Linked DNA regions of Diceros bicornis minor. The protein of the gene in region 1 binds, or shares a complex with, the protein of each later gene. Links are inferred from orthologs where the notes say so. Each region holds a gene or a part of one and is shown on either strand. Other genes may lie near its edges. The genes, in order: TERT and GAR1.

Region 1 (9,420 bases):
GTGGGTATTAGCAAGATGTGACACGCTCTTACTTGTGCTTTTCAAAGATCATTCCGGATGCTCCCTGCAGACTGCAGCTGGCAAGAATGAAGGAGCTGGAAGCCTGTTGCAACAATGCCAGAGATGACAATGGCTACATGTGCACGTGCCAGAGAGGAATCAGGATGGCCCCTGGGATGGTGGCTTCATCTTTCCTTTATCTTAGGCAGTGACCGAGCTGTATCTGTAAGGAAGGTCGAGTTCAGTCCCTCCTTTTGCGGAACTGCTGAAGCCCTCTGCTCAGGAAAACTCAGAAACCCGGCTCCATGGTCATTCCCTCTTTTCTCTCCCCATCTCCCTGCTCTTCTGATGGGAACAGAGCCGCCCAGGGCACTGATTTGCCCAGCCCTGAGTTTCTCGGACCCCAGTGAGGCCCCCTCCTGAAGGGCTTCATGGAGGCGGCACTGACCCTGTGCCCTGAGCTGGGGAACTAGGATGGTCTGGGCCGGGAGTGGGTGTTCACAAAGGGAGTGATGAAAGGACTTAATTCTGTCAGTAAATTCTACCTTTCCACATCCCAGTGGATCATTTTATCTTACTGCTTTCTTAAATTTCATCAAATGACTTTCAAGAGTGCAGAAACCCACAGGCGTGCAACCGGGACCAAGCTGTGTTTGCCAAGGTGCAGGGACTGAGGATCGCGTGCAAAGGGATTTTTAGCCTTGAGCACATTTTATTGGTTTTCATAAGGTGATTTAAGGTGCGGGAGAAAGTATACAGAGACCTGGAAATAGATCAGGACGGATTAATGGGGCAGAGCTGCCAAGGGCAGAAGGTAAACGCCTCGTCTGCCAAGACAGTGGGGAAACATGGCTGTTTTCCCTGGGCACTGCCAGACCCAGCGAGGCTCTGGCAGCAGAGCTTGGCGTCAACCCAGGACTCTGACGCCCAGGCAAGCCATGTCCCCAGAGGCCCCCCCAACTCGCTGCCTTTCTCCTGGCTGTGCTGTGTCTCCCCAACCAGTGGGTGTGTGGGGGTACACTGGCCTTGGACTCCACAGTCCCAGCTCTGCCCCAAACGATCGGGATTTTCAGGAACCACCCGCTCCGAGCCTGTGAGAAAGGACGATGGCACCGTCCACCTGCTTCCCGGGGCTGCTCAGAGACAAGGAGCTCGTGGGCACGAAATCTCCGTGAGTCGTAAAGCTCTATACAAGCGAAGGCCATTATTCCTAGTTATTTATCTCTTCCACTAAGACTTAAAGGAGTGTTCCAGGAACCCCTGCAGGTAAGACAAACCACGCAAAGCAGAGGCAGAAACAATCTCTGCTTCACTGTGCTCCCGGGACCTGCCCGGACTCCTGAGTGAAGAACCTGGGGAGAAAATAAAACGGGGGTGCTCTGAGCCCCCAGGATGGGGTCATAACAGCAGCGGAGCATTGGGTTCCCTAGATTCAGGGAACCTGGGAGACAGAGGACAGACTCCGAGGTTCCGTAGGGCAGCCCCCCCTACGTGGGGGTCCATGCTACCAGGGACGGGGCTCCGTGTCGTCTGCTCCATCCGCCTCCCAATGAACCCCTTGGCTCTCCCTCGGGCCCACACGGAGGTCAGGCCCCTCTGCCCCTCTCTGCTTCTCCAGAAAACACTTCCTACACCCAGGTCCATAAACCTGCCTCATGGCTTTCTCTCGCCTCTCACCCCACGCCTGGTTGCAACAACAGTGCTTCTTAGGTTGTCTTTCTCCTAGGCCAACATCCTCTGAGCCAGAACCAGCCTCGAGCCCCAAGCGCAGGTCCTGGTGTCTTGGCCTGGCGCTCTGGCTCAGTCAGCGCCCTGCCACCCCCCCCAGGACCCCTCCCACAGTCTGCATTGTCGGGGCCCCTCAGGACCACGTGAGAGGCACTACACCCCACAGAGAGGCTACAGTGAAAAATCGTGACACCACCAGTGCTGGCAAGGACAGAGGAATGGGAGTTCACACACGTGGCTGGTGGGAATGCAGAATGGCACAGCCCCTCTGGAAAACAGTGTGGTGGTTTCCATAAACACTAAACAATACGACCCAGCAATTGCACTCCTGGGCATGTACCCCGGAGTAATGAAAATGTATGTAATTATGTACAAAATCCCGTCTACAAAGGTTCATAGCAGCTCTATGTGTAATAGCTTGAAAGGCGGGAAAACTAAATGTCCCTCAACAGGCGAACGGTTAAATTAACCGTGCACACCCACACCTCGGAATGAAGGCTGCTCCGAGACATGAGGGAGGTGGACCATCGACACACCACAGCTACACGGAGAGAGAAAGCCAATCTTGGAAGCTCACGTGACACAATGCCATTTATACAGCCTTCTTGAAATGACACAGTTTCACCCCAGAGCAGGCTGGTGGTCACCAGGGGTCAGGGAGGCCGGGAGGGCTGTGAGTGCAGCAGGGGCAATCCTGGAGGTGGTGGGACAGTCCGCATCTTGGTGGTGGTGCTGGTCACACAAATCTACACAGGAGATAAGATGACGTCGACCTGTACACACTCACCACGCGCCCAGGTTAGTGAGTTACGGGGGGTTAACCACTGGGGTGCTGGGGGGCCCAAGGCAGAACTGGGCCCTCTCAGCAGCTGTACTGTCTCTGCCACGCTGTGTCATGGGCAGACTGATGCCCCAAAGATGGCACATCCTAGTCCTGGCACCCGTGTGACCTCACCTGGCACAGGACTACGCAGATGGGAGTACGTTAAGGATTTTGAGGTGGGGGCATGGCCCTGGATCATCCGGATGGCCCTACATCAATCTGAAGGTCCTTGTGAGAGGCGGCAGGAGGGTCAGGGTCACAGAGGGAGATGTGATGATGGAGGCAGAGGGTCACAGAGAGCTTGGAGGATGCCTCGTTGAAGGCTCCACCAGGGAGCGAGAGGGTCAGGGCAGCACCAGGGGGCCTGCCTGTCTGTCCCAGTGTCCTGTCCTCCTGCCCCAGTGCTGGGCTTGGGATTGCACCTGCCTTTCTGTCAGCAAGGGCACGGTGTTGACCCCAGTCTTTGTTATGCTACCCCCTTTGTGGTCAGCTTCCATGAGGACAGAAGCCCGTGTGCATCCTGTGATGGGGCACTGGGTCTGTTCTGGCCGCTGAGACCTGTCTGGATCCCGATTCTGCTGTCCCACGTCTTGGCTCCTCCCCCAGCGGCAGGTCTGAGACACAAGCCACGTGCTCCCCCAGGACACTGCCAAGAGGGTGCCAGGCGGGGTGTGCGAGGTGCCCCAGGCGTGCCATCGGGTGGGTGTGGGGCAGTGCATGGCAGTCACTACCCTCCCCGTGCTGCCCTCCAGAGCCGGCTCTCCTGCCACCCCAGCCCCCGAGCCCTCAGTCCAGTCACTGTGACCCAGGAGCCACGTGGTGCCCCATGAACACTGAGCCCATGCACGGACCAACGCCGACCACTTACTCAGACGTGACCCTGTGCTCGTCACCGCACAGCCTGGAGGTGACGGATTCTATTTCCTCCCCATGCTCGGGGCTCAGCCTCTGTGGGTTTCTCTGTGATCTGCAGACCAGGGACCAGTGGCCTGTTGGTGTCTCTACAGGTTCTTGGAGCAACCAGAAAGGGGCAGCCCGCAGTCCAGCGGGGGCTCCCTGACTGTCTCTGCAGGGGACCCCCAATGTCCAGGTACTGGGCACACTGTTGAAAATCTCTTCATGTCGGTCCCCCTAGTTCCTTAGTGAGCCCCTCACTCACGCAGGGGGCTCCTCCCACTCCTTCAGTGACCGATGATGCATCAGGAAGCAGCAGGTGTGAAGTGTGACGCCCACGTCCCCTTCTGGAAGTCCTAGAACGGGATTTCGCTGTTGTATTTCTCGTAAGCCAACAACATACATTTTTTCTTGGTACGTTTTTCATGTCTGAAGACACAGTGATTTAAGACCGTGACCAGTTTCTCGCAGAGAGAAACCGTGCACAGGACACTGGAGGGAGCATTCCAGAGGGCGACGATTTCCATCTGAGCTGTATACTGACACACTGTTCATCACGCTAGCATGGTTTTCTGCCTCGGTTTCCTCTATTCTTTTTTTTTTTAATTATGTTTTCCATGCTGGTTTCTCCAGGTGAACCAGCGTACTGTTGTTGGAAAAGAGCAAATTTCCCGGAAGCAGCCCAAATCCTCCAGTGGCAGAATGAGCAGTTCTCAAACGCAGCCTTGGGCCTTGACCGTGCCCACTAGACACACTTCTGTCTAGAACAACAGCCCCGATCCCAAGTCGCATGAGCCCTGGCAGACCCTGATCCAGCAGACAAATATGAGACGCCGTCTGTCCAGGGAAGAGAGTGGAGGCTTGTTTAAATGCCACAGCCTTGAATACAATTTCCTGACTGGGTTTCTTACCTCGTGAAAGATTAACATTTGTTCAGCCTGTTCACTGTTTGCCACGGGCCTCTGGAGACCCAGAAGTTTCCCCATTTCTTAGCGACGCACACGTGAACATCCCACAGTGTCTGGGTTCGGGTGGAATCTCATTATGGTGACTCCTCTAAGCTGTCCTGTTCATGTGACGAGCCATTGTCAAAACTGCCCTCCTGGGTCTGGGGAGGGGCGACTCGTGGGGAGGGTCTCCACCCCTTGGCTGCAAGGCGGGGGCTTCTGGCTCTCTCTGGGGCACTGCAAGGCTGTAGGCGGATCCCTTGACCTGTCCAGTCTCCTCTTCCTCCCAGTGTGTGGGAGGGCAGGTGGTTCTGGGGGCTCGGGGATGAAGGCAGCCATGGGCAGGTGACACCACATTGGGAGCCTGCGGCTCCATTTTCTCTCCTTCCTTTGGTGGATGACCTCATGATCATTGATTATTAGGGAACTGATTTGGGGTTTTTGTGTATGGTTGGGACCACAACAGAAGCCTAAGAACCCGGAAAGAGAAACTACAGCCCGGGATCAAGGAGACCAAGTCGTCAGGGGAAGTACTGCACTGACCGCTGACCACTGCCAGCTGACTGCTGCCCACTGACCACGTGGCAAGGCCTGCCCACTGCACGCTGACCATTGACCGCTGACCACTGCCCACGGCGGGAAGAGCTCCGGGAGCACCACCTCATGCCCGTCGAGGATGCGCCTTTGCCCTCAGTTTCCCCCAACCCCGCCAGGCGGGAGCAGCGGTGTCCATTTTCTCCTTTCCAACGCACCTCATGACACGTTCGCTGTCTTGCTCCTTCCAAACCCCTTCTGCAGGACCCCAGAGCAGCCCTCTGTGCCAGGGTCACGGCCCACGTGAGAAAGTGACAACCCAGAAGGACCCTCTCCCCAGGGGGCGCAGAGCGCACCAGGTCCCTCAGGGACCCACGTTATGGTCCCCTCTCTCGGGTAACCCCCAGAGCCTCTCCGCCGTGAGACCCTTGCTGCGACCCCTGCACCCTGGGATGGGTGAGGGGGCTGCCAGGGTGCAGCTGGGCGGTGGGGGCACGCCGGGTCCTCGATGACACCTGGACGCGGGAATCCGCGGGCCGCAGGGAGGGCAAAGGCCGAGCACCTGCCTCCCGCGACCCCGCCCCTCGGGCCCGGCCAGACCCCGCCCCCGGGCGCTGGGCGACCCGGCCCCTTCCTCCCTCCAGCCCCGCCCCTCCGCGCGGCCCCCGCCGGGCCCCGCCCCTTCCTCCGTGCGGACCCGCCCCCGCCCCGACCCTCCCTCTGCCGCGCCGTGCTCAGGTGGATGCAGCTCGCGCTGCAGCCGCGTGTCTGCGCACGTGGAGCCCCGGCCCCCGCCCTCGCCTGCGATGCCGCGCGCGCCCAGGTGCCGGGCCGTACGCGCCCTGCTGCGGGGCCGCTACCGCGAGGTGCTGCCACTAGCGACCTTCATGCGGCGCCTGGGGCCCGAGGGCCGGCGGCTCGTGCGGCGCGGGGACCCGGAGGCCTTCCGCGCGCTGGTGGCCCAGTGCCTGGTGTGCGTGCCCTGGGACTCGCAGCCGCCCCCCGCCGCCCCGTCCTTCCGCCAGGTGGGCTGTCCCCGGGGACCTGGGTCGGGCGTGCAGGAGTTGGGGAGGGAGGGCCGTGAGGAACACGGCAGGACGCGGGCTGTGCGCCCCGGGTTCCCGGTCACCTTTGTCCCCGGCGAGTCAGAGCCCCCCCTCCCGCAGGTGTCCTGCCTGAAGGAGCTGGTGGCCAGGGTCGTGCAGAGGCTCTGCGAGCGCGGTGCGCGGAACGTGCTGGCCTTCGGCTTCGCGCTGCTGGACGGGGCCCGCGGCGGGCCGCCCGTGGCCTTCACGACCAACGTGCGCAACTACCTGCCCAACACGGTGACCGAGACGCTGCGCAGCAGCGGCGCATGGGGGCTGCTGCTGCGCCGCGTGGGCGACGACGTGCTTACCCACCTGCTGGCACGCTGCTCACTCTACCTGCTGGTGGCCCCGAGCTGCGCCTACCAGGTGTGCGGGCCGCCGCTCTACGATCTCTGCACCACCGCCGCGGCTCGGCCTGCCTCGTCTCCCTGCCGCCGGCCCACGCCACACGCGGGCGAGAGCCGGACGGGCCTCCGACCCACGCGCCAGACCTGGAACGGCGGCGACGTGGGGGCCAGGGGACCCCCAGGGCCACCAGCCCGGAGCGGGAGGCGGCGTCGGGTCAGCTCTGGGGGAAGTCCACCTCCAGCCAAGAGGCCCAGGCGTGGCCTAGCTGGGGAGCCGGAGCAGGGGCCCGTCGGGCAGGTGTCCCGGGCGCACCTGGGCAGGGCACGTGGGCCAAATGACACCGATCCCCACGTGGTGACACCTAGAGAAACCGCCGTGGAAGCCGCGTCTTGGGAGGGCGAACCGCCGAGGACCCGTCTCCCCGTCCCCCCTCTGCACCGAGAGCGCGAGGCCGGCTCCCCACCCACGCGGCGGTCACCGCGGCCCCGGGGCGCACACGATCCCCGAGTGTATGTCGAGACCAAGCACTTCCTCTACTGCTCTGGCGGCAAGGAACGGCTGCTCCCTTCCTTCCTGCCCAGCTGCATGCAGCCCAGCCTGGCAGGGGCCCGGAGACTCGTAGAGACCATCTTTCTGGGCTCGAAGCCCGGGCGGCCAGGGCCTTCCCGCAGGACGCGCCGCCTGCCCGCGCGTTACTGGCGGATGAGGCCCCTGTTCCGGGAGCTGCTTGGGAACCATGCGCGGTGCCCCTATGGCGCGCTCCTCAGGACGCACTGTCCGCTGCGGGGCGTGGCCACCCCAGCAGGGTCCGCTGACCAGGGGTGCGGTGGAGTGGGCGTCAGCGCCCGGGAGAGGCCAGCGGCGGCCCCGGAGGAGGACGCAGGCCCGCGGCGCCTTGTCCAGCTGCTCCGCCAGCACAGCAGCCCCTGGCAGGTGTACGCGTTCCTGCGGGCCTGTCTGTGCCGGCTGGTGCCTGCTGGCCTCTGGGGATCCAGGCACAACGAGCGCCGCTTCTTGAGGAACGTGAAGAAGTTCGTCTCTCTGGGGAAGCACGCCAAGCTCTCCTCGCAGGAGCTGACCTGGAAGATGAAAGTGCAGGACTGCGCCTGGCTGCGGAGCCCAGGTGAGGAGCCCGGGGAGGAGGCGGCGGCCCTGCAGCATCAGGCCCCCACCCGGAACGCAGCAGAGCCCCTCCCTACGCGGGTAACCCCACCTGTGGCTGTCGGGTGGCTCATCTGATTTCTCTGCCTCTGATCCCCTCTCCCATCTAGTTTTCATAAAACTGTAAGACCCACGTATAAACCTACGAGACCCTCATGGACTCAGGCAGGTTCTGGCAGACAGCAGATGGGACACACGTGGAGTAGGGCTCTGGCAGCAGACAGAAGTGTCCGAAGTTCTCCTCAGCGGGCCGACGGGTTATTCAGGATCCCTTTTTTGACATCAGGGTTTATCACCTTGAAATGGTGCCCCACTGATAGAAATGGGAGCTGGGAGATAAGCCTCCTGAGTTTCCTGGACACACCTGCTCAGCCACGCCTGCTCAGCCACGCCTGCTCAGCCAGCGTACAGATCTGAATTTAAGTTTTGATGTGTGTCTGCTGTGCCTGGGCAGGGCAGACAGAGGAGGGTAGAAGAACTGTCTCCTGAACAAGGACCCAGTCCCATCTTTAGGAAGGAAAGGGTCACCAGGGCGACGGGAGCGGCAGGGCTCTCCTGTTTCAGGGAAGTGGCCACCACCAAGGGTGCTGGCGGGGCTGCAGCTGGGGCTGCAGTGTCCCTCCGGCTTTGATTTTCTCGGTTTGATGTTGAGGTTCCTCTGGTCCAGCCACCACTCAGCCCCCTCTCTCCCAGTGCCTTCCTGGTGGGCACACCAACACCACGAGTGGACAGGACCAGCCACCACCCTCCTCTCCCTGATGGTGCAGCAGCGGCCAGCATGGGCCCCAGTGTTTTCGGCTTGACCCCCCCCCAAACTCCCACAACACCCAGGACTCCTAGAAGAAAGAATGGCAGAGCCTTCGTCAGAGCCACGTCTGCCCATGGGCTGCACGTTACAGTCTCCTGGGGTGGGGACTTTAAATATGCCCCGCCCATCCCCAAAGATCTCGATTGCCATGGCCTCCGTTGGGGGGTGCGGGGCACACCCTTTCTGGCTCCCCAAGAGGCTCTGCGGCCAGGTGATGCGGACGAGGTGACCTTCCAGCAACTGGGTTTTTTAAGGTTTTTTTGTTAATTGTGGGGGGGAAAAACACATGAGGTCTGCCCTCCTAACAGATGTTTAAGGGTACGGAACGGTATTGCTGAGTGTAAGCGCGGCGTCGTACTGCTGGTCTCTCTGGTGTTCTCATCTTGCGTGACTTGGCGCCTGTTGGCCAGCAGTCCCTGCCACATGTGACAGCGTGGATGAGCTGGGAAGGCGTCATGCTCAAATGTGTTGTCACATGACTCGTTTGTGCCCTTGGGGCTCCAGTTTGCTTTGAAAGGAGAGTCTGGGTTCTGTAATTTGGCTCCCCGATTTCAGATGAGGTCTGCCGTGCCCCTGTGTCCTGTGGGCACGAGGAGGTGTTGTTTCCCAGGCAGCTGGGACCCAGCCCCTGGACCACCCGGCATCCTCGCTGGCTTGAGCTGTGCCCAGGCGTGTGCCCCTTTCCGTGGCTGTGGCCCCGCGGTTGCCTACTGTCTGAATAAATGATGCACAGTATGGCGTTGGCCTCTGAGCCCCCTTTCCTGGTCACCTCTTCCGTCCTTTCCTGCTGGGACGCCCCTTCCTCTGTGCAGGTCGTCTGCCCTGCCAGGCACTCCATCAGCCCCCCTGGGCTCATTTGCCTCTGTCAAGCCAGCCTTGACCATTGTCCTGTCTGCTTGCTGCCCACTGACTCCCCTCGGCTCTCTGGTCCCCAGCGCTGGAGGCCAGACTTCTGGGGAGTCCACATCTGCTGTCAAGTGTTGCTAGAGATGTTGAAAAAAGGATTCCTGATGGCAACTCGGAGGTGCCTTGGCCCCTTGCTCACTGCCTCTCCCCTGGGCCCCTCATTGGGCTGGTGGCAACCTTTGC
Region 2 (9,834 bases), on another chromosome or scaffold:
TCAACTTTTGTTTATGTTTGAAATTTTAATAATAAAAATTTTTTAAAAAGAAAGTCACGAGTTTATATTAATGTTTCCAATTTAATGGCAACTTGGCTAAGTCCTTTTAAAATTTTGTTCCAATAAAAAGTTTTTCAGCCCTTGCTCTTCTCTGTCATTCACAACATCTCCTTAGCAAGTATTTTAACTAGATTTCCTAGCCTTTTAGTAACACAGCTGGATGTATGCCTCCTTAGATCTCGGACCCCAGATTAGGCTGTGCTTGTACCCTTTCTCTTTTTCCCACATCTCTTTGTAATCTCTTTGTCCATCATTCTATAGTCATTTGTTGACAAGCAGAATCTTAATGGATGGGCAGATGTTCAAAGTATAGAGAATAGCTCAGTTCAGTTCAACAAATACTTACTGGGCATCAGTTTGTTTTTACAGGCACTGTGCTAAGTGCTTAGGACACCAAAACACATAAGATGTAGTTCCCCTCTTCAGGAGCTTACAGTCTAGTGCAGATTTCTCAGTTGGGGTTCTGCAGATGTCATTAGGGGTTCTATGAGAGGTAGTTGCTAGGGGTTCTAGAAGAGACTGGAAAAAAAATTTTAAGTTTTGAATTTCCTTCTCCATGCAATGCCAGTGATTGCAGTGATGAATAGTAGTTAAGCAGCCCTGTTAATAATTGTGCTGGAGGTCGTTCACCTATATGGCAGTGCTCCAAATGACTGTGCTCCTTTGATTGAGTCCATTCTCAGTTTCTGATGCAAGATGGGGGAGGCTGTTGATAACTGGTGAGTGCAGAATTGTAAGGAGAGAGGGATGATAGACTGATGGCATCAGCCTCTCCTTCTTGACCCATCTCCTATCCTCCCCCAGCCTCCCTTTACCCAGAGCCAGGTGAGAGCAAACACGCGTTCCTGATGATAGAAAACCAAGGGGTAAACTTGAATTCTTAGGAAAGACTCTGTAAGTACTGTGACTCAGATGCCTCCCTGCTGCTTTGTAATGTTGTAAATATTGCAAAACATGGAGCTTACAGGTTAGAAGTGAATTGTATTACAAAGATTTCACTTTTCTTTTGTGATTTACTTATTCAGCTTGCTTGTTTTACACTTTATTAACAGTGTTTTACAAACATGACTTAGAGTCCAGTGTGGTGAGTTTTGAAGATGAAGGGGAGATGGAAGAGAATTCCAGGCCTAGGTAATTCTGACAAAAGTTAGTAATGACGAATCACAACGTAAAAATGCAGGAATGGCTGCAGCAAAAGTGATAAGGCACAACTACAAATCACAGTAAAGAAGCAAATAATTTTAAATGGTCTTTGGAATCCAAGAGTGAAAAATTGGTTTATCACCTTATTAAAAAGGTCCATAAGGCAAGTTATTAAGTAGCAGAACATTTTTGCTAAAAAAGGAAAAGGACCCATAGTTTGTAAGAACCTCACAATTCTAGTATGTAAATTTATAGAGACTAAAATGCTAGGATAAGACATAATATAAGAAACTAAAAAGTTTTCACTGTCAAAGTTTAATAAATTGCTATAATTAATGACATGTCACGTGACGCTGAAGAGATTTTTGTGTAATAAACCAAAAAATAACTTCATGGATGGATCAACAGATTTCAACAACAAATGTCATATGGCAGCACTTGTAAGATACGTCTATTGTGGTGAAATTCAAGTAAATTTTTCTGCTATAAAATGCTGCCCCAAACAAGCAAAGGCCAAGATACATTCACTATTTTGCCTTCACATTGGAAACAAAGGCGCAACTTGGAGGAAGCGTGTTGGCATTGGCACTGATGGTGCCTCATCAGTGATTAAAAGCATTTCTCCCTGAGAGGGTTCACTTTCATAAACAAGAAAACCCTGATGCACTGACAACACACTGCTTTCCTCCCAGAGAGGTGCTGGTGTCACACACTTTTGGAGCTGAAATGAAAAAAATTCTAGATGATGCTATAAAAATGGCCAAACTTATTAAAGGCCAGTTCACTCAAGAATGTTTTAAATACTGTGCAAAAATCTGGACAAAGACCACATAAATCTGCAGCCACATGCATAAAATCTGATGGCTTAGGAGATCATTTGCTCTGCGGGAAGCCAGCTGCCCTGTCATGAGAATGCTGCACTCTGTAAAGAGGCCCACATGGCAAGGAACTGAGTCTTCTTGGCAACAGAGAGAGAGCATTGGCTTGCGAGGCACGCGAGTGAGCCACCTCAGAAAGTGATCCTCCCTCCCCAGTCATGCCTTCAGGTGCCTGCAGCCCCAGTCAACATCTTGACTGCAGCCTCACAAGAGACCCTGAGCCAGACCCACCAACCTAAGCTGCTCCTGAATTTCTGACCCACAGAGAGTATGCAAGATAATGTTTATTGTTTTAAGCCACTAAGTGTTGGGTAATTTGTCACACAGCAAGAGAAACTAATACAGATTTTGGTTCTTAACAGAATGTTTGAGCTGAAAAGTGAACTGTGGGAATACCTTCAAGAAAACAGTAGGCTAGATTTTGCCAAATGCATTGAAGATCAAGAATGGCTGCACAAACTAGCCTACTTAGCAGACATTTTTCATCATACAAACTAGTTGAACAAGTATCTTCAAGGGCCTGGAGAAACTATTTTTATTTTAAGTGACAAGATTCTTGGTTTTAAGTGGAAACTGAATCTTTGGAAAAACCCTATGGCAAAAAGGAATCTTGAAATGTTTCCACCGGTGCTTGCATCTGAGAGTGAGGGAGTCTTGAGTCTCAAGTTGAGACCAAACCATTGGGGGAACTGCAGAACAAAACTGAACCGTGTTTCCCTCCCCTTTAACACAGGTGTATGACGGACTGAGGGCGTCTTTCTCTGAACCTTCTCCTCAGCCTGAGCACCTGACCTGGAGAGAAGAGGAAGCACTTTGTGAGTTGATGATTATAAACATAAGATGAAATTTACTGACTTCCCCTTTACAAGTTATGGATTTCTGTGAAAGAACATCCTGCCATTCACAGGAAAGTAATCAACATTTTGCTGTACTTTTCAACTTTTTACTCATGTGAGCAAGCTTTTTCTTGCCTAACAAGCATTAAGAACAAAGACAGAAATCATCTCATTTCAGTTGAAAATGAAATCTGTGTATGCCAGTCTCAAGATCAACTCAGAACTGAGCATATACATAGCAAAACACAAGCAAAGATGTCATTCTCAGTTAAATTTTGTTATTTTTTAGTTTCAAAAATAACACTTTTATGCGTATATAGGACTATAAGAGAGACGAACAATCATTAAAATCAATTTGCAATTTTTACTAAAGGAAAAAACAGAAGTTTCCTCTCCCACTTAATTTGCATCCGAGTTCATATCCTTTGTGAGGAGATGGAAATTACGGAGTAAGCTAATAAATTGGGAAAAAATAAGCAGACTCACAGAAAAATATCCTTCTCTACTCAAAAGGGCACTAAGTTGCACAGAAATGTGAATCACTGAACTATACACTTAAAAATGATCAATATGAGTTTACGTTATGTGTATTTTACAAGTAAAAAAAGAGCATTGACAGTTACTATTGGATCATTATGTCTATAACTTGTTGATCATGTTAACCTACCAGGATGTATATAATTTTTATGCAGGAGTTTCTGAGACATGAAAATTACTTCAAGGGTTTCTCCAGGGTAAAAAGAGAGAAAAAGGCTGGTCTAGTGGATGGGAAATGCACCTTTTCCAAGAGCAAGAGAAGCAAGGCAATGATGGAGCAGAGGGACTGTGTACAGCACAGGAGGGGAATAAGAAGGTCTAACTGATGGAGAGATTTTGCTTTAGACTTGTTGCTAAAGGAAACGGGGAGCTATCTGGAGTCCTGAGGATGGCTATGGTATGAGGAAACTGTTTTAGTACGGCCAGTAGGTCACCACGAGCAGTACAGATGGGAGGAAGAAGTTAAGCCTGGAAGCATTTATTCTGAGGCAACAAAGATGCTCAGAATGTGACAGGATGTTGTAGCTCACTGTTATTATTTCTGGACTTTTGAATTCTTGTAGATTATATTGGGTGATTTGGGGTAGGAATAACACAAGGAAGTGTGGTAGTGACACCAGGAGGCCTGTAACGGCAGTGCAAAGTGCAAAGCTACCTTAGAAGGAATTAATAGAAATTGATAGCTTTGGAAAAAAGAGACTGCAACCAAGGCTGGTGATAACAATGATAGAGAAGAGGGAGAGTGCTCAAGGTCTGAGTCCAAAGATTCAGACACCAGGATTATGATGCTACCATGAGGACAAACAGGGAATTGGGATGATGAAAAATTCGGGAAGAGGATGGCGGCAGCTGAAAATGACCGAGGACTGTGAGAATCCAAGGTTCTAGTTTGTCCCTCTAACTAGCTGGGGAAGTTACTTCACTTCTCTGAACGTCGGTTCCTTATACATAAAACAAAGGGGCACCAGGTAATCTGGAAGGTTCCATAAAAGTTCAATAGTTTCATCACACTGAGTTGGAGATAATAGTGGCATACCAAATGGAGATAGAAACACTGAACGTAAATGTTAAACGACACGAAAATTTTTTAGGAACAAAGCGAAATAGAGCAGAGTAGTTATGAATAATTCTACCTCTATATGATGTACATAATTTAATGTACACTTATCAAATCTGAACAAAAAATACATTCATCACATTCCTCTTATATATAGATAGGACTGTTAGATCCTTTCTCAAGAAGCTTATACTTTAGTGTAGAGGACATACTGTGACTCCTAATGTTTCCATAGAGAAGGTTACAAAGTTCTTTCAGAATCAAAATAACCCTCTGAAATAGGTACCACTCCCCACCCTCTTTCAAAGAAGAGGCGGTCGACCGTGTCCAATATCAACGTAAGGTCTCAGAAGATTCGGGTGTAAAAGAGACCAACTGAACTGAATAAACAGGAGGTCGCTGGCTTTCTCTAGGAGAGAAGCTTTAGCGGGAGCTGGAAACAGACAGCAAGGGCTTAAAGAGAGAAGGGGGGGGCTTGTGGAGACGGTGCGCCGCCGTCGGTGCTCGAAACCTACTCGACAAATGCATGAACTATCTGGTACAAAAGGTAAAGATACGGTTTGGCTTTCCATCAGATAACATAGTTTCTTTAAAAGTATACATACACACACGCGCGCGCGCATTTTTTCTTCAGTGACACCGCGGGACAAAAGCACGGCCCGGTTCAGCCCACAACCGCGCGTACTCAAAGGACCCGGCAGAAACAAGAGACTCGGCAGAGCCAGACGAGCCCTCCACTGCGTTCCCACGCGGCCAGACCCACCGCGGCACAGCCGCGGGAGCGGGCGACCACCCAAGGAGCGCGGGCACCCCCTCGCAACCTGGGAAGCAGGAGGCACGCCCGCCAGCCCGCAGCGCAAACCCCCGGGCCGCCGGGAGCGGGTAGACCCCCGACGCCGGCCGTCACCAGGGCAACAGCGCGCGGCACTTCCTGCAACGCCGCGAGGCAGAGGACGCCGCCATTATACGTCACTTCCTCTGTTCCTCGGTAGGCAAGTCGACGTGAGTGTCGTAAACTAGTGGTTGAAGTTAGATATTCTTGCGGCTCTTCCGCCGCTGACGGCTGCTTTGGAAAGGTGACAGCGGCACCGGTTCCGCTGGTGACCGGCTTTTATTTGTAAACCGCTTTCGAGTGCCTGGTCATTTCCCCCCCGCCCACCTTGTGCCAGTACGGTGGCTGAAGAGGCTCGCGGGCGGCGGAAGTACCGGGCGGTGGACGTGCGCACCCGGGCCGGAGGCGCACGTGGCCCCGGTGAGTGGCCGTGGGGAGCAGGGGGACCGTAGATGCTGGGCGCGGAGCCCGCTGCGGGCGGGAGGGACGGAGGGAGGGCGGCTTGGGCGTGAAGAGCGCGCGGCCTGCTGGAGGAGGAGGGACCAGCCAGGGGCGGCGAGTCTGCCGAGTGGTCGCGGCGCTCGCAGGGCTGTGGGGAGGTGACACGCCTCTCCCTTGGGGGTCCTCACTGGCGGCCTGGCCGTGGGCGACGTGCAGGGCTGATATGATGATGCTTGTCCCCTCATACGGGGTTCGGGCTGAGGCTCAAGGGAGGTAGGTGGTGTCCCCCGAGGCCCCAGTGACCGAAAGGCGCGCCGTTGTTCTCTCCAGGTAGGCTCTAGCGAGCATGTCTTTTCGAGGCGGAGGTCGTGGGGGCTTTAATCGAGGTGGAGGCGGCGGCTTCAGTCGCGGGGGCGGCAGCAACAACCACTTCCGAGGTGGAGGCGGCGGCAGTTTCAGAGGCGGCGGCGGCAGAGGAGGATTCGGACGAGGGGGTGGCCGCGGAGGCTTTAACAAAGGCCAAGACCAGGGACCTCCGGAACATGTGGTTTGTACGTCAGCTTCAAAGCTTAGCCTGCTCGGGGGTGGGGGGTGAGTGGGGTAGGGGGCGGATGCGCTGGGTTTGTTATTAGTGAGTTTGGCGGGAGTCAGGTGCTGAGAGCGATCCCGCAGCTGTCCTACGCAGGGTGCTGCGTGGTTGGGGAGGCAAGTCTGTGGAGATGCTGTAAACTGACTTATAATCCTGCTGTAGCATATAAGGGGAGCAGGAAAGCTCAGGGACACTTAGAATGCATCATGGAGGTGGAACTTGAGCTTGGGCTGAAAGGAAGATGTTAAATAGGTAATGTTGTGTGATTATACTTGTTGTCCCCATTTCACAGATAAGAAAACTGTCGTTCAGAATTAAATTTTTTTGCTAGGGTTATAGTTAGTGATGAGTGATCAGTGAGTGATATATTTGAGATACAAAGCCAAGTTTTCTGGCTCCAAAGCCCATGCTTTCAGTTACTACTCATAAGTAAGAGAAGTGAGGAAAAAAAATTTGCTTGGAAGGGAAACTACAGACGGGAAGTCAAGAAAAAAACCTAATTAGAGCAGTTAGGGGGTAATTATCAATGAGGTGGGATGGACTCTTGAGACAGAGATTTGACAGTAGCAGCCTACATCAAAGGGGAAAAAGGATGAGCAGAGTCTGTTATAAGGAATAGGCTGGACCAGGATGGAAGATCGTTTGAAGAGGGCAATGGCTAGAGTCAAAGGTCCTAGCCCACAAGCCATCACAATAGTCCATGCATGTGGCATTGAGAGCATCGTGTAAGTGAGAAGAAGAAGGAGGGGGTAGATGGGAGAGAGACTTCAGTGCAAACAGACTCAGTAGAACTTGGCTAATACTGGGAATAAATGGTTCCAGGTTTTGAGCTTGGGTGATAGGGATGGAGAGTTGGTTTTGAAGGCATGTGGTATTTCAGTTTGTGGTGACAGTCAGTTAAAAACAAAAGTAGTTATTTTGAAATTCCAGACTTCCCTGAAAGAGATTCCAGACTTCACCAAAAATTGGTGAAGAGATGGTTGTGGGAAGTTGTAAAAGGAGAGGAAAAAAAGACAGGAGAACAACAAAGACTGATGTACAGTTAGGGATTGGGGAGAAGGAAGAAGAGACAGTAGATTGAAGCATTTAATAAAATAATAATAGTTATTATTATAATAAATAACTTATAGGTTGAGTGATCTCAATGTGTGAGGCACTTTTCTAAGCACCTAATCCTCACAATACTATGTTAACATGTCGGTACTGTTATTAGCCCTATATTGAGGATGAAGACACTGAAGCAGAGATATGAGAACCTTAGCCTAGATCATGTAGCTAGTATGTTGTGGAGTTGGTTTACCAACCCAGGAAGGCTTTTCTGCCTCAGAGGAGAACAGATAGGGTGAAATCCCAGGCAGCCAAGAAGAGAGCTTCCAGAAGAGGTTGGTCAGTATCACTTGAAGTTGTTTTATATTTTAACGTTTTCTTGTCCTGTTTCAGTATTAGGAGAGTTCCTACATCCCTGTGAAGATGACATAGTTTGTAAATGTACCACAGATGAAAATAAGGTGCCTTATTTCAACGCTCCAGTTTATTTAGAAAACAAAGAGCAAATTGGAAAAGTGGATGAAATATTTGGACAACTTAGAGATTTTGTATCCTTTTTAATTGGAAGACCTCGTGATCTCATTGAAAGGTTACTATTTCCTTTTTCTGCTGCTGAGTATTGGTTAAATCAGACTTGCTGCTTCATTAAATTGGACAGAGTATTGCTGAGATTGGACCATAAAGGAGAATCAAGAGAGGAGAATGTATTGTCAAATATATTGAAAAGATAGGCCCTATAAGTGTGACTTCCTTTCTAGAAGGTTTTAGAAATAATTGCCATTTGGATAAGTGCTACAGGATTGAGATACTTTGCTTGGGATGTGCCGATGCCACTGAGTGGTGTGGTGGAATTGGAAGTTTTGAAACAAACAAAACTCATTTCCTCCTGGAAACTCATTTCTTACTTTTCCTAAATATTTCCATGTATTCTAATCTCGTTGTTTTTAAAATTATGTGTGAATTCAGAAGGTTACCTTCTTTGATCTTAATTGCTTATTCCTTAATAAAATTAATAGTATTTTTCAGTTAAATTGTCAGAAAACATGAAGGCATCTTCCTTTAAAAAGCTGCAGAAGGTGAGTCAAGCTTATGATCCCTAGGATCCTCGGTTTTATAAGTGAGTGGCCCCCTCAGGACAGTCCTACGTAGAGCGCTTGAGACTCCCCAGTGTGTCACTAGGCGTGCTCTACACTGAGATGTTCTGTGCTGTACACGCTGAACTTACTGATCCTTAGAAGTCCTTTAGTGCAGGCTTTCAGAAAGTATTCCTTGCTCACAGTAGCAAATTCTGTGACGGCTAGAGTATGTTTTTTAGTTTATGTAGAACTCTCTTATTGAAAAGCTTGCATGACCAAACATTCTAGGTAAAACATTAAATTATAAAACTTACATTGAAGTCAGATATTAAGTGGTTTCACAGATATTTCAATAACATGATATATGCTGTGAAGACGAAAGGTTGCTATGAGAATGTTACTGTTGGGACCACATTTAGTGTATTGGCTTTCTGAGGACAGGAGCTTGAAGCTGAGTCCTGAAAGGTGACTAGGAGTGATTCCCAAACCTGGTTGCACATCAGAATTATCTGGGGGAGCTTTTAAGAAGTTGTATTTCTAGGTCCCACCCCTAGAAATTTGACCCAGTAGGTTTTAGATAGGTAGGGACAAGGATTCAGTTTTAAAAAGGAAAGCTGGATGATTTTGATATCGTTAGGCTAGCACTTGGGAACCACCACGCTAGTCAGAGAGGAGGAGGAAGTGCATTACAAGAGAGAAAAGAGTATGTGCAAGTCTCTGAGAAACTCAGGCACCTTAGGGATCCAAAAAAGGCAGAGCTACAGCTTGGACATAGAACATTTAGGAGGAGTAGAGAAAGTTGTGAACTAAGACTGGAGAAGTAGGCTGGGGCTAAATTACTTAAGGCCTTCAGGTCATGGGAAAGAGTTTAGACTTTAGTTTTAGTTTTGCTTTTAAATATCAGGGCAAATACGGGTTAAATTTATACTTAAAAAGAGCACTGGAAAAATAAAAGACCCCTGGAAGGGAGTCAGTGCTGTATGTGAAGGGGCCGGGTTGGAGGCGTTGCATCAGTCCTGGAAGAGAGAATATTGTGGACTAGGGTAGTGACAGTGGAAATGGTGAAAAGTGGATGGATTTATGAGGGGTAGGAACCAGAATTGATAGGTCTTGGTAATCGATTAGCTATTGAAGTTGAAGTAAAAAATATCACCATCTTTCAGATGTGTGATTTCAACCTGGTTGTGGACGGTGTCACCGTTTACTGAAATGGGCCACAATGGAGGAGAAGGGAATGAGGGGGAAGATACTGAGTTCAGTTTTGGACATAATTTTTTTGAAGCACTTGTGAGATATTCACATAGGAGCTCGAAGGAAGAGTCTGGACTAGAGAGAGAA

Evidence for each region.
Region 2: TERT (region 1) and GAR1 share a complex: the UniProt entries of both Homo sapiens proteins name them as parts of the telomerase holoenzyme complex. The link is inferred for Diceros bicornis minor from reciprocal best matches to the Homo sapiens genes TERT and GAR1.

Annotation. Positions count from the first base shown.
Region 1 is NC_080759.1:61,425,663-61,435,082, forward strand, and holds the start of TERT (telomerase reverse transcriptase), read left to right. Parts: upstream 1-5,729; 5' UTR 5,730-5,732; coding exon 5,733-5,951; intron 5,952-6,092; coding exon 6,093-7,485; intron 7,486-9,420. UniProt on the Homo sapiens protein: Telomerase is a ribonucleoprotein enzyme essential for the replication of chromosome termini in most eukaryotes. Active in progenitor and cancer cells. Inactive, or very low activity, in normal somatic cells.
Region 2 is NC_080750.1:5,226,655-5,236,488, forward strand, and holds the start of GAR1 (H/ACA ribonucleoprotein complex subunit 1), read left to right. Parts: upstream 1-5,608; 5' UTR 5,609-5,670; coding exon of another isoform or gene 5,671-6,029; intron 6,030-6,114; exon of another isoform or gene 6,115-6,118; 5' UTR 6,119-6,130; coding exon 6,131-6,335; intron 6,336-7,813; coding exon 7,814-7,968; intron 7,969-8,436; coding exon 8,437-8,496; intron 8,497-9,834. Other genes in the region: CFI (complement factor I), read right to left, coding at 5,275-5,608, 5,671-6,029. UniProt on the Homo sapiens protein: Required for ribosome biogenesis and telomere maintenance. Part of the H/ACA small nucleolar ribonucleoprotein (H/ACA snoRNP) complex, which catalyzes pseudouridylation of rRNA.